Ovis aries: one gene and its partner. The protein of the gene in region 1 purifies or fractionates together with the protein of each later gene. This does not show direct contact. Links are inferred from orthologs where the notes say so. Each region holds a gene or a part of one and is shown on either strand. Other genes may lie near its edges. The genes, in order: TAP1 and TAPBP.

Region 1 (3,872 bases):
TATATACAGTAGTGTCTATATGTTAATCCTAACCTCAGTGATCGTATTCTTAAAGACAGGTAGTGGGCAGACGTTAGAAGACACGGAGAACATGAAAACTGACACTGAGCAACCCAAGAATGTGGACAGTTGGACCCACAGAGATGCAGAATCAGTGCAGGCGCCAGGAAAGAACCCTGACAGGAAGCGAGCCCACCACGTCTGGGCGACAGGAGTCAGCGCAGGTTGAGGCAACTCCCCAGACAGACCTTGTGCCGATTCCCCAGCTTCTTAGGCAGAAGAAAGAGCAGGGGCAGGGCGACCAGGGTGACCACAGTGAGGGACGGGGACGCCCAGAGCATGAGCCCCAGGAGACACAGTCCCCGGATGAGGTACCACAGCAACAGGCTGAGATCCGAACTCAGAGATTCACTCATGGTGGACGTGTCATCTGTCACCCGAGATGTGATTTCACCTGTGAAGGGTTGGGGAGAAGAGGGTGGTGTGAATGAGAATCTCAGAGTGATGGGAGGGACAGGTGAGCCAGGGTGCCAGGGGAAGGGTTCTCAGAAGGCTGAGAAGACAAGGTCAGTGGTTAGGGAGACTTGGAACCTCAACACAAGGAGAAAGTGTCCAGAGGAGAAGACTAGCTAAAGACTTTCCAGTTTAAAAAAAAAAAAAAAAAAAGATGCCCTTGTGGATTTCATTTTCTCTGACAGATTCCTGTTCTCTAAGAACTTTTATATCCCAGGTACAGGGGCAGGAGAAACAAGCAGATCATCTAACAGCTGGAGAGAAACAAAGTTGCTGTTAAACAGCAGTCCAGGAAACTGTAGCAAGCGCTGGACTGGGAATCAAGAGAGGGGTTCTGACTCTGAGTTCATCTCTGTCCGCCCGCATCTAGGCAAGCGCCAGCATTTGGGGACGGCCTCAGTTCCCTTCTCTGCAAAGCAAGGTGGCTAGACTCTGTGATCTCAAAATTTCAAGGTTTAAATTCCAGTCATTTCTATCTAAACACACACAGAGGGATAAGTCTGTGAGGCTTGGATGGAAACACTAGGCTTTTCTTAAATAAAAGGAGTATGTTTTGCTCTTGAGGCACGTTGAGAATAAGACATGACAGTGTTTATGTGTGAGAGACTAGAAATCAAGGTTATAAGTAAAAGAGGAGGTATGGGCTTCCCTGGTGGCTCGGATGGTAAAGAATCTCCCTGCAATGCAGGAGACCTGGGTACGATCTCTGGGTTGGGAAGATCCCCTGGAGAATCCATTCCAGTATTCTTGCCTAGAGAATTCCATGGACAGAGAGCCTGGCGGGCCACAGTCCATGAGGTCCCAAAGAGTTGAACATGACTGAGAGATTAATAATTTAATACTTTATGGGTGTATAAACAGTAAGTGAATGGATAGTGAAAAGAGTTTCATGAGAAACCTGCTTGGTTCTTTTGAAAAAACTCTGTCTCCTGGCGCAGGACAGCCTGAAACACCTCTCCCTGCAGGTGGCTGTGCATGCGGCCCATGGTGCTGTTGTAGATTCCATCAGCTGTGAACTCCAGCACTGCACTACGGGGAGACAAGAGAAGGGGGCCCGGGGTGGTCAGGAGGTCCCCCAGAAGTTCACCCTGGACGGCAGCCCCAACTTCCAACTCCCACTTTTTCCGAATCCCCTGTCCCCCAGCCTTCCACCTTCAGTGCCCAGACCTGGCTATGGTGAGGACCGACATGAGGGTTACGTTCCGGGTGAAGGCAGCGGCTGTCTCATCCTGTACAATCCAGTCGGTGAGCCGGCCAGTGTAGAACGGAATGGCCATCTCCCCTGCGGAGGGGAAGAAATAGCAAGTCTGAGCAGGTGAGCTCTCACCAGGCCCTGGCCCACCGGCTTTTCACCTTTATTCATTCTCCTGAGCTCTCACCAGGCCCTGGCCCACCGGCTTTTCACCTTTATTCATTCTCCTGAGCTCTCACCAGGCCCTGGCCCACCGGCTTTTCGCCTTTATTCATTCTCCTGCAGAGCAGTGGAGAGATACCATCTCCACCTACACGAGGCCCAAAGACCTTTAGAGGTTTAATGAGGAAGCCTAGCGGTTGTAGGATGGGCTGCCCGGGAAAAGCCCTTGTCCACGGCGGCCAGTGAAGCAACAACACGCAGGGCAGCCCTGGAGTCCAGGACCCCTGACAATTGCCCAGTCAGGACCTTCCCACTCCACTGGGGTGATCAAGACCTGAGCTGGGTCCCCTTCCCCTCACCCACGTTTCCGAGAACCCACACCAATTGCTCTCATTGATCAGGCCCCTCGATTCCTACCCAGTTCTCCAGTCCCGTCCCCCTTCCCGTTGCACGCCCCCCGCCGCCCCCACCTTACCTACCAAGACAGGAGAGAAACACCAGGGCCAAAATGAACTGCACGTGGCTTTTCTCCGGACCCAGGAAGACTAAAAGCCGGCTCATCGCCAGGCCAAAAGCCCCGCGAGCTCCTTGCACGCAGAGGCTCCTGATCTTATACCACAGGGTGGCCGCGGGCAGTGCCGCGCAGTAGCTGAGAGCGAAGGCGTCCAGGCGACTTCCCCAGTGCAGGGGCCCGGCGCTGTCCGCGTCCTCGGGGGCTCGCCAGGAGACCAGCTCTCGGATCAAGGCGAGTCCCGGCAGGGCCAAGCCCAGCGCCGCCGCCAGCGGCTCCAAAACAGCCAGCCACCCGAGGACTCGCGTGCCTTCCCTCCGGAAGCCCAGCGCGGCCCCGACGACGCCGCGGGCCCCCAGCCACAGCAGCGCCCAGCGGCTCAAGCCCGCCACCCAGACCCGCAGCAGCGGCAGCGCAGGGGGCACCAGCCGCGAGGCCACTCGGGGCAGCGCCGGCCGGAGCAGCGTCCAGTCGGCGAGGAGCAGCAGCGCCGTCCCCAGCCACGCGACGGCGAGGCGGGGGAGGCGCGGACGGCCGCAGGGAGCTGGGGACCCCGGGCAGGCCATGGGCGCGCGCGGTCCCGGCTCTCGCTGTCCGCGACGGGCTGCTGTGGGAGCCCGAGCCCCGGGCCGGAACCCGGACCGCCGCGGGGAGGGGCCGGGGCGGGGCCTCGGAAAGTCCCGGGAGCCCGCCGAGCCCGCGGCGCTGCCCAGAAGCGGGCGGTTTAGGGGAAAGAGAAAACGAAAGCGGCCCGGCTTCCCAGGCCCGGCCCCTGCGGAGGCGGCCGGCCCAGGGCACCTGGGAGGAGCGCAGGGACCTCGGATCCGAGGCTGACCTCCTCCATCGCCACCCGAGCCCCGCCTCGCGTGCCACCGCCTCCTGCAGGAGCCGCGCTGCCCGGGACTTTCTGGCCCCGGGTCTGCAGGCGGGGCTCGTGCGTCATCCGTCTCCGGGCAGATCCGCTGGCCCCGGTCTCTTGCGTCATCTGTCTCCGGGTAGACCCGCCCCGCACAAGTTAGCGCCGGGCCGCCCCGCGCGGCGGCACGGACTCGTGCGCCCCCTGGCGGGCGCGGCGCGGGGGCGGGGCCTCGGGCAGCGGGCGGCGCGCGGTCCCAGGTCGGAAACCAGAGCCCGGAGCGGCGAGCCTCGCGGAGCCGGGATGCTGCGGACCGGAGCCCCCACCGGGGACTTGCCCCGGGCAGGAGAAGTCCACACCGGGGTAATGAGTCTGGAACATCGGTGGCGGGACGGAGGGACGGGCGGACCCTGGAAGCGCCACAGGGTTAACTCGGAGACTCGCAAGAGGGAGGAGACCGCTTGCAGCAGCCGGGGCGCGCATCCCAAAAGGAACACGGGCGTCTCTACAGAAGCGGGGTGCTCGGGGGGCCGCCGAGGGACTGGGCGCGGGGGGCCGGCGGGGAAGGGGTGCTTGGGCTCCGAGCTGGAAGCGTTGAGGGGAAGCTGCTTTAGAGCGCTTTCGCTTTCACTCTGGAC
Region 2 (3,901 bases), about 300 kb from region 1:
TGGAAAGAGTCTATTTTTAATTTTACATTAAAAAGAAACCTTTCATTTTCTTAAATCCCTAATCAAGCAAGAATGTTTGAAAAGGAAGACTGAGCACAGCAACTAGTTTTCACCCCCGGTGGTGAGTGAGCTGCAGTAACGTTCTCACCTGGCCACGGCCCTTGGTTCCCTCTCCGCACTTCTTTTAGGGCTCAAGTCACTTTCTACTCTACAATTATCCCATGACAAATCTAATGAGAACGTTTCTGAGAGGAGACTCTACATCTGGTCACCTCTGTGACCCTTAAAAGTGTTCAAGGGCACCCCAGAGATTCTGATTTAATTCACCTGCAGTGAAATTTTTAAGGATTCTTATTTGCAGACCGAACTGAGAACTACAGGGCCCCAATTTATTCTTGGTGATAATAAACATTTATTAAACCAGTGAATAAATTAACAAAGTGTCTCCCTTGATTGTCACAACAACGGGAAGGCAGATGGGAAATACCATCCACATTTTACAGTTGGAAAAGCAGATTCAGAGAAAAAGGGACATTCTTACCCTACCCCGTGAAACCAACAGCCTTGGAAATATTCCTGCCCACTAGAGACAACTGCCATCCCCACAAGGAGCAGTTTGCCTCTGTTCCTGCCCTGGGCAAGGTCTGGGGACAAAGAATGGAGATGGAAGCAGAGGTGAGGATTGCGGAGTGGGTGCTGAGTCCCATGGGTGATTCTCTCAGTGAGGAGAATGTCAGGGAGAAGGTACTGGGGAAGGCAGGTTGTAGGGCTCAGTAAGGGTTGACTGGCAGGTCAGGCTGTATCCTTTCCATAAAATCACACAATGTTTAAGAATTGCCAAGGACTCTGTTCCCATCACCCTCCAGAGAAGAGCTCCAAGAAAGCCAAATCCAGGTCGCATCTTCCCCACTTTTGCTTTATCCACCCACTCCCTGCGCCCAAGACCCGAAAAGTGCCCAAGCCCTGGGCCTTGAACCGGGTTACACAATGCGGCAAGTGGTCCGTCCTTGCAGCCAGAACCACCAGATCCCCCGCCGCTTCCCTTCCATGCACTCAAGCCCACCATTCAATGACCACAGAGTCAACGCATCATCACGAGCCCTAAGAGGAGGCTGTCAGGTGAGGTTAACGCTATTGAGCACAAGAGCCTGCGCTTTGCTGATTGTTGCAGCGCCGGATGTGGGAGTGGGTGGGGCGTGAAGGCCGTTTTTTGTTTTTTTTTTTTAACATGGTGAACAGCAAAGGTGGGGGCGCCTAGCAAGATCTCGGAGGAAAGGAGCAAAAGTTCCTGCTTCTGAGACCCTCCCAAGCCCCTCGCCTAGCGAGTTGCTTAAGGTCTGCTGCTGCTGCTAAATCGCTTCAGTCGTGTCCGACTCTGTGCGACCCCATAGACGGCAGCCCACCAGGCTCCTCTGTCCAAGGGATTCTCTAGGCAAGAATACTGGAGTGGGTTGCCATTTCTTTCTCCAGTCTTAAGGTCAGGTGTCCGGAACCCCCGCCTCTCTCCAAAACCCCGCCCCAAACCGCATTTTATTTTAGATTAGGTTGGGACTAGATGAAGCGGTAAAGACATTTTAACTGAACTGCCTTGATTTACAAATAAAGGAACGGAGACTCGACTGGGGAAGTGACTCGCTCAAGTCCGCAGAGCGAGTTAACGGCTGATCTGGACCCTTACAATCTACCCAATAATCTCCCATTCCCCTCTATAGCTACCTGTTGCCATGGTGATGAGAGCAGGCTCAGGCTGAGGCTCCGACTGTGGTCGAAGGAGGCTGGAGAGGCTGAGGAACGGGCTAGACATGCTGACCATGAGCCAAGTCCCGTCCAGGGCCCGCGGGCAGCTCTGCTCCGGGGTCAAGCCGCTGAGCCATTTGGCCGAGGCTGGGAGCGGGACGTAGAGGCTCATTTCGCAGCGTGGAGCGGGGGCGTCCCGGGGATACTGTCTGAAGGCGGCCTGAAGGGTGCCCGCGGGGTCTGTGAACGCAGAGAGAGGAGCTGCAGGCGTAGAATCTCCGCCAGGAAAGAAGAGGGGAGGGCAGCGTCCAGGGACTTTCAAAGGTGCAGACTAGCCGGTCGTGAGAGACTGAGAGGGCGGAGCGTTTCACTTTACAGCTGGGGGAAACTGAGGCCCGAGGTCACTGAGACCCGAAGGGCTGGGGGGGTTTCGGGGGAGGCAACAGAGTTGGGAGCGAGTCAGGGATGACTCACCGTGAACTTTGAGGTAGCGCTCCGGGGCGAGGTCCGGTCGAGGAGGTGGGCTCTCCGCGCCCTGGCGCAGCAGCAGGGCAGCGGGTTTCTTGGCCAACTTGCCCCCGCCCGCATCCTCCACGAACCAGCACTCAATCACCGCGGGTCTGGCCGAGACAGCGGTCGCCAAGCCTGGGAAGAGGGACGCGAGTGAAGGCACGGCCCCAACCTCAGGTGACCCGACCTCCCCCATCCCCGGACGTGGCGGGGCTCACCTCCCACCGTTCCCTGTGCAAGGAGTCACGGGGGTCGCTCACCCAAAGCCACAGCGAGGAGCAGGGACACGCGCTTCATGGCGCTCGGATTTCTCAGCTCTGAAACCGCCTCTTCCTCCTTTCGCTTTCACTTTCCTCCAAAGGCCAGCAGGTGGGGCGGAGGAAATCCCCTCTCAGGCTGGGGGAAAGCTCGTGGGAGGCAGGTTCTCTCCCCGCCTTGCCCCCTCCCCGGCGCCGGGCAGGGTTCCCGAAACATCCTCCCCAGTTGAGGAGTTCCGGTCTGGGGACCTCAGTCCCGCCCAGCCCTCCCGGACTACCCAGCGCCGCAGAGTCCGCGAGCCTTCCCACACCCGAGGCGCCCCCGCCTGTCCCCCACAACCCCGAATCCACTTCCCTGAGAACCATTACTCCACCTTCCCCCACCTGTGCCGGGTCCCAAGCAGACACATCGGGGTTGTCGGGAAGCCAAATGAAATGACCAATAAATATTTTAATCACTGTTTAGAAAAAATAAGATTTAAAATAAAAACCTGTACTCCTACAACTTAGTCCCTCCTTGTCTCCATCCCCCTCTCTCCCCAGTGAGAATTGAGTTTGGGGACCCCCAAAGTGGGGGAGGAGAGATTAGGGTAGAAATAAAGGGCACATCCTTTTGCGGGGCAGGCTATATTCTAGGAAAAGGGTGGGGCTCTAAGGCCTGGTCCCCACAACTACACAAACACAGACTTCAGGTACAGACTACAACCACCTGACCCTTGACCCAGTGACTCCTGGATGCTCAACAGGCCCCCTCACCCCACCCCCACCCCCACCCCACATGGGCCCTACTCGGGAGCTGGGGCTTCTGTGCACCCATCTGCAGGGAAGCAAGGGCTGAGTTACAGGGATACTTTGGGGAGGAGGGGCCGAGGAGTGGAATGGGGTAGCCCATGGGGCGACGCGGTTCCCCCTCCAGGATATATATACACAAGTCCATAGAGACAGGAAGACAGTGAGTTGGGAGATCACCTAGGGTCCACAGTGCCCCAGACTCGTGATACCTAATCTCTCTTCCCGGAAAGCTACCCCGGTGGGCCGCCCCTTCAGTTTGCTCCGCCGCCCCCACTGAAGCCCATTTCCACCTTGTGGACACTGAGCGGGGACCAGACGCATCGGCTGGACGGGGGCGTGGCCCCACTCGTCTCATCGCCGCTGCCCCCGCCGCCGCCGCCGCCGGGGGACTCTCTCTTGGGCTGCAAGGCCGCTCCGCTGGGCCCGCCCCCGGGGCCCGGTCCAGCCCCGCCCCCGCCGCCTAAGTGGTGCCGGCGCTCACAGTGTCCCCGGTGGCGCATGAAGCTGTCTCGCCACATGAACTTCTTGGCGCAGACACTGCACTCGTAGGGCTTGAGACCCGTGTGCGTCTTCATGTGCTCCGTCAGGTGGTGCTTCATCTTGAA

The links.
Region 2: the proteins of TAP1 (region 1) and TAPBP purify together in Homo sapiens (co-immunoprecipitation; 6 studies listed by BioGRID and IntAct, with this or other methods). This does not show direct contact. The link is inferred for Ovis aries from reciprocal best matches to the Homo sapiens genes TAP1 and TAPBP.

The regions. Positions count from the first base shown.
Region 1 is NC_056073.1:7,335,211-7,339,082, forward strand, and holds the start of TAP1 (antigen peptide transporter 1), read right to left. Parts: upstream 2,990-3,872; 5' UTR 2,945-2,989; coding exon 2,347-2,944; intron 1,796-2,346; coding exon 1,681-1,795; intron 1,543-1,680; coding exon 1,412-1,542; intron 455-1,411; coding exon 249-454; intron 1-248. Other genes in the region: PSMB9 (proteasome subunit beta type-9), read left to right, coding at 3,538-3,597. UniProt on the Homo sapiens protein: ABC transporter associated with antigen processing. In complex with TAP2 mediates unidirectional translocation of peptide antigens from cytosol to endoplasmic reticulum (ER) for loading onto MHC class I (MHCI) molecules.
Region 2 is NC_056073.1:7,633,789-7,637,689, forward strand, and holds the start of TAPBP (tapasin precursor), read right to left. Parts: upstream 2,584-3,901; 5' UTR 2,545-2,583; coding exon 2,508-2,544; intron 2,383-2,507; coding exon 2,212-2,382; intron 1,978-2,211; coding exon 1,717-1,977; intron 1-1,716. Other genes in the region: ZBTB22 (zinc finger and BTB domain-containing protein 22), read right to left, coding at 3,548-3,901. UniProt on the Homo sapiens protein: Involved in the association of MHC class I with transporter associated with antigen processing (TAP) and in the assembly of MHC class I with peptide (peptide loading).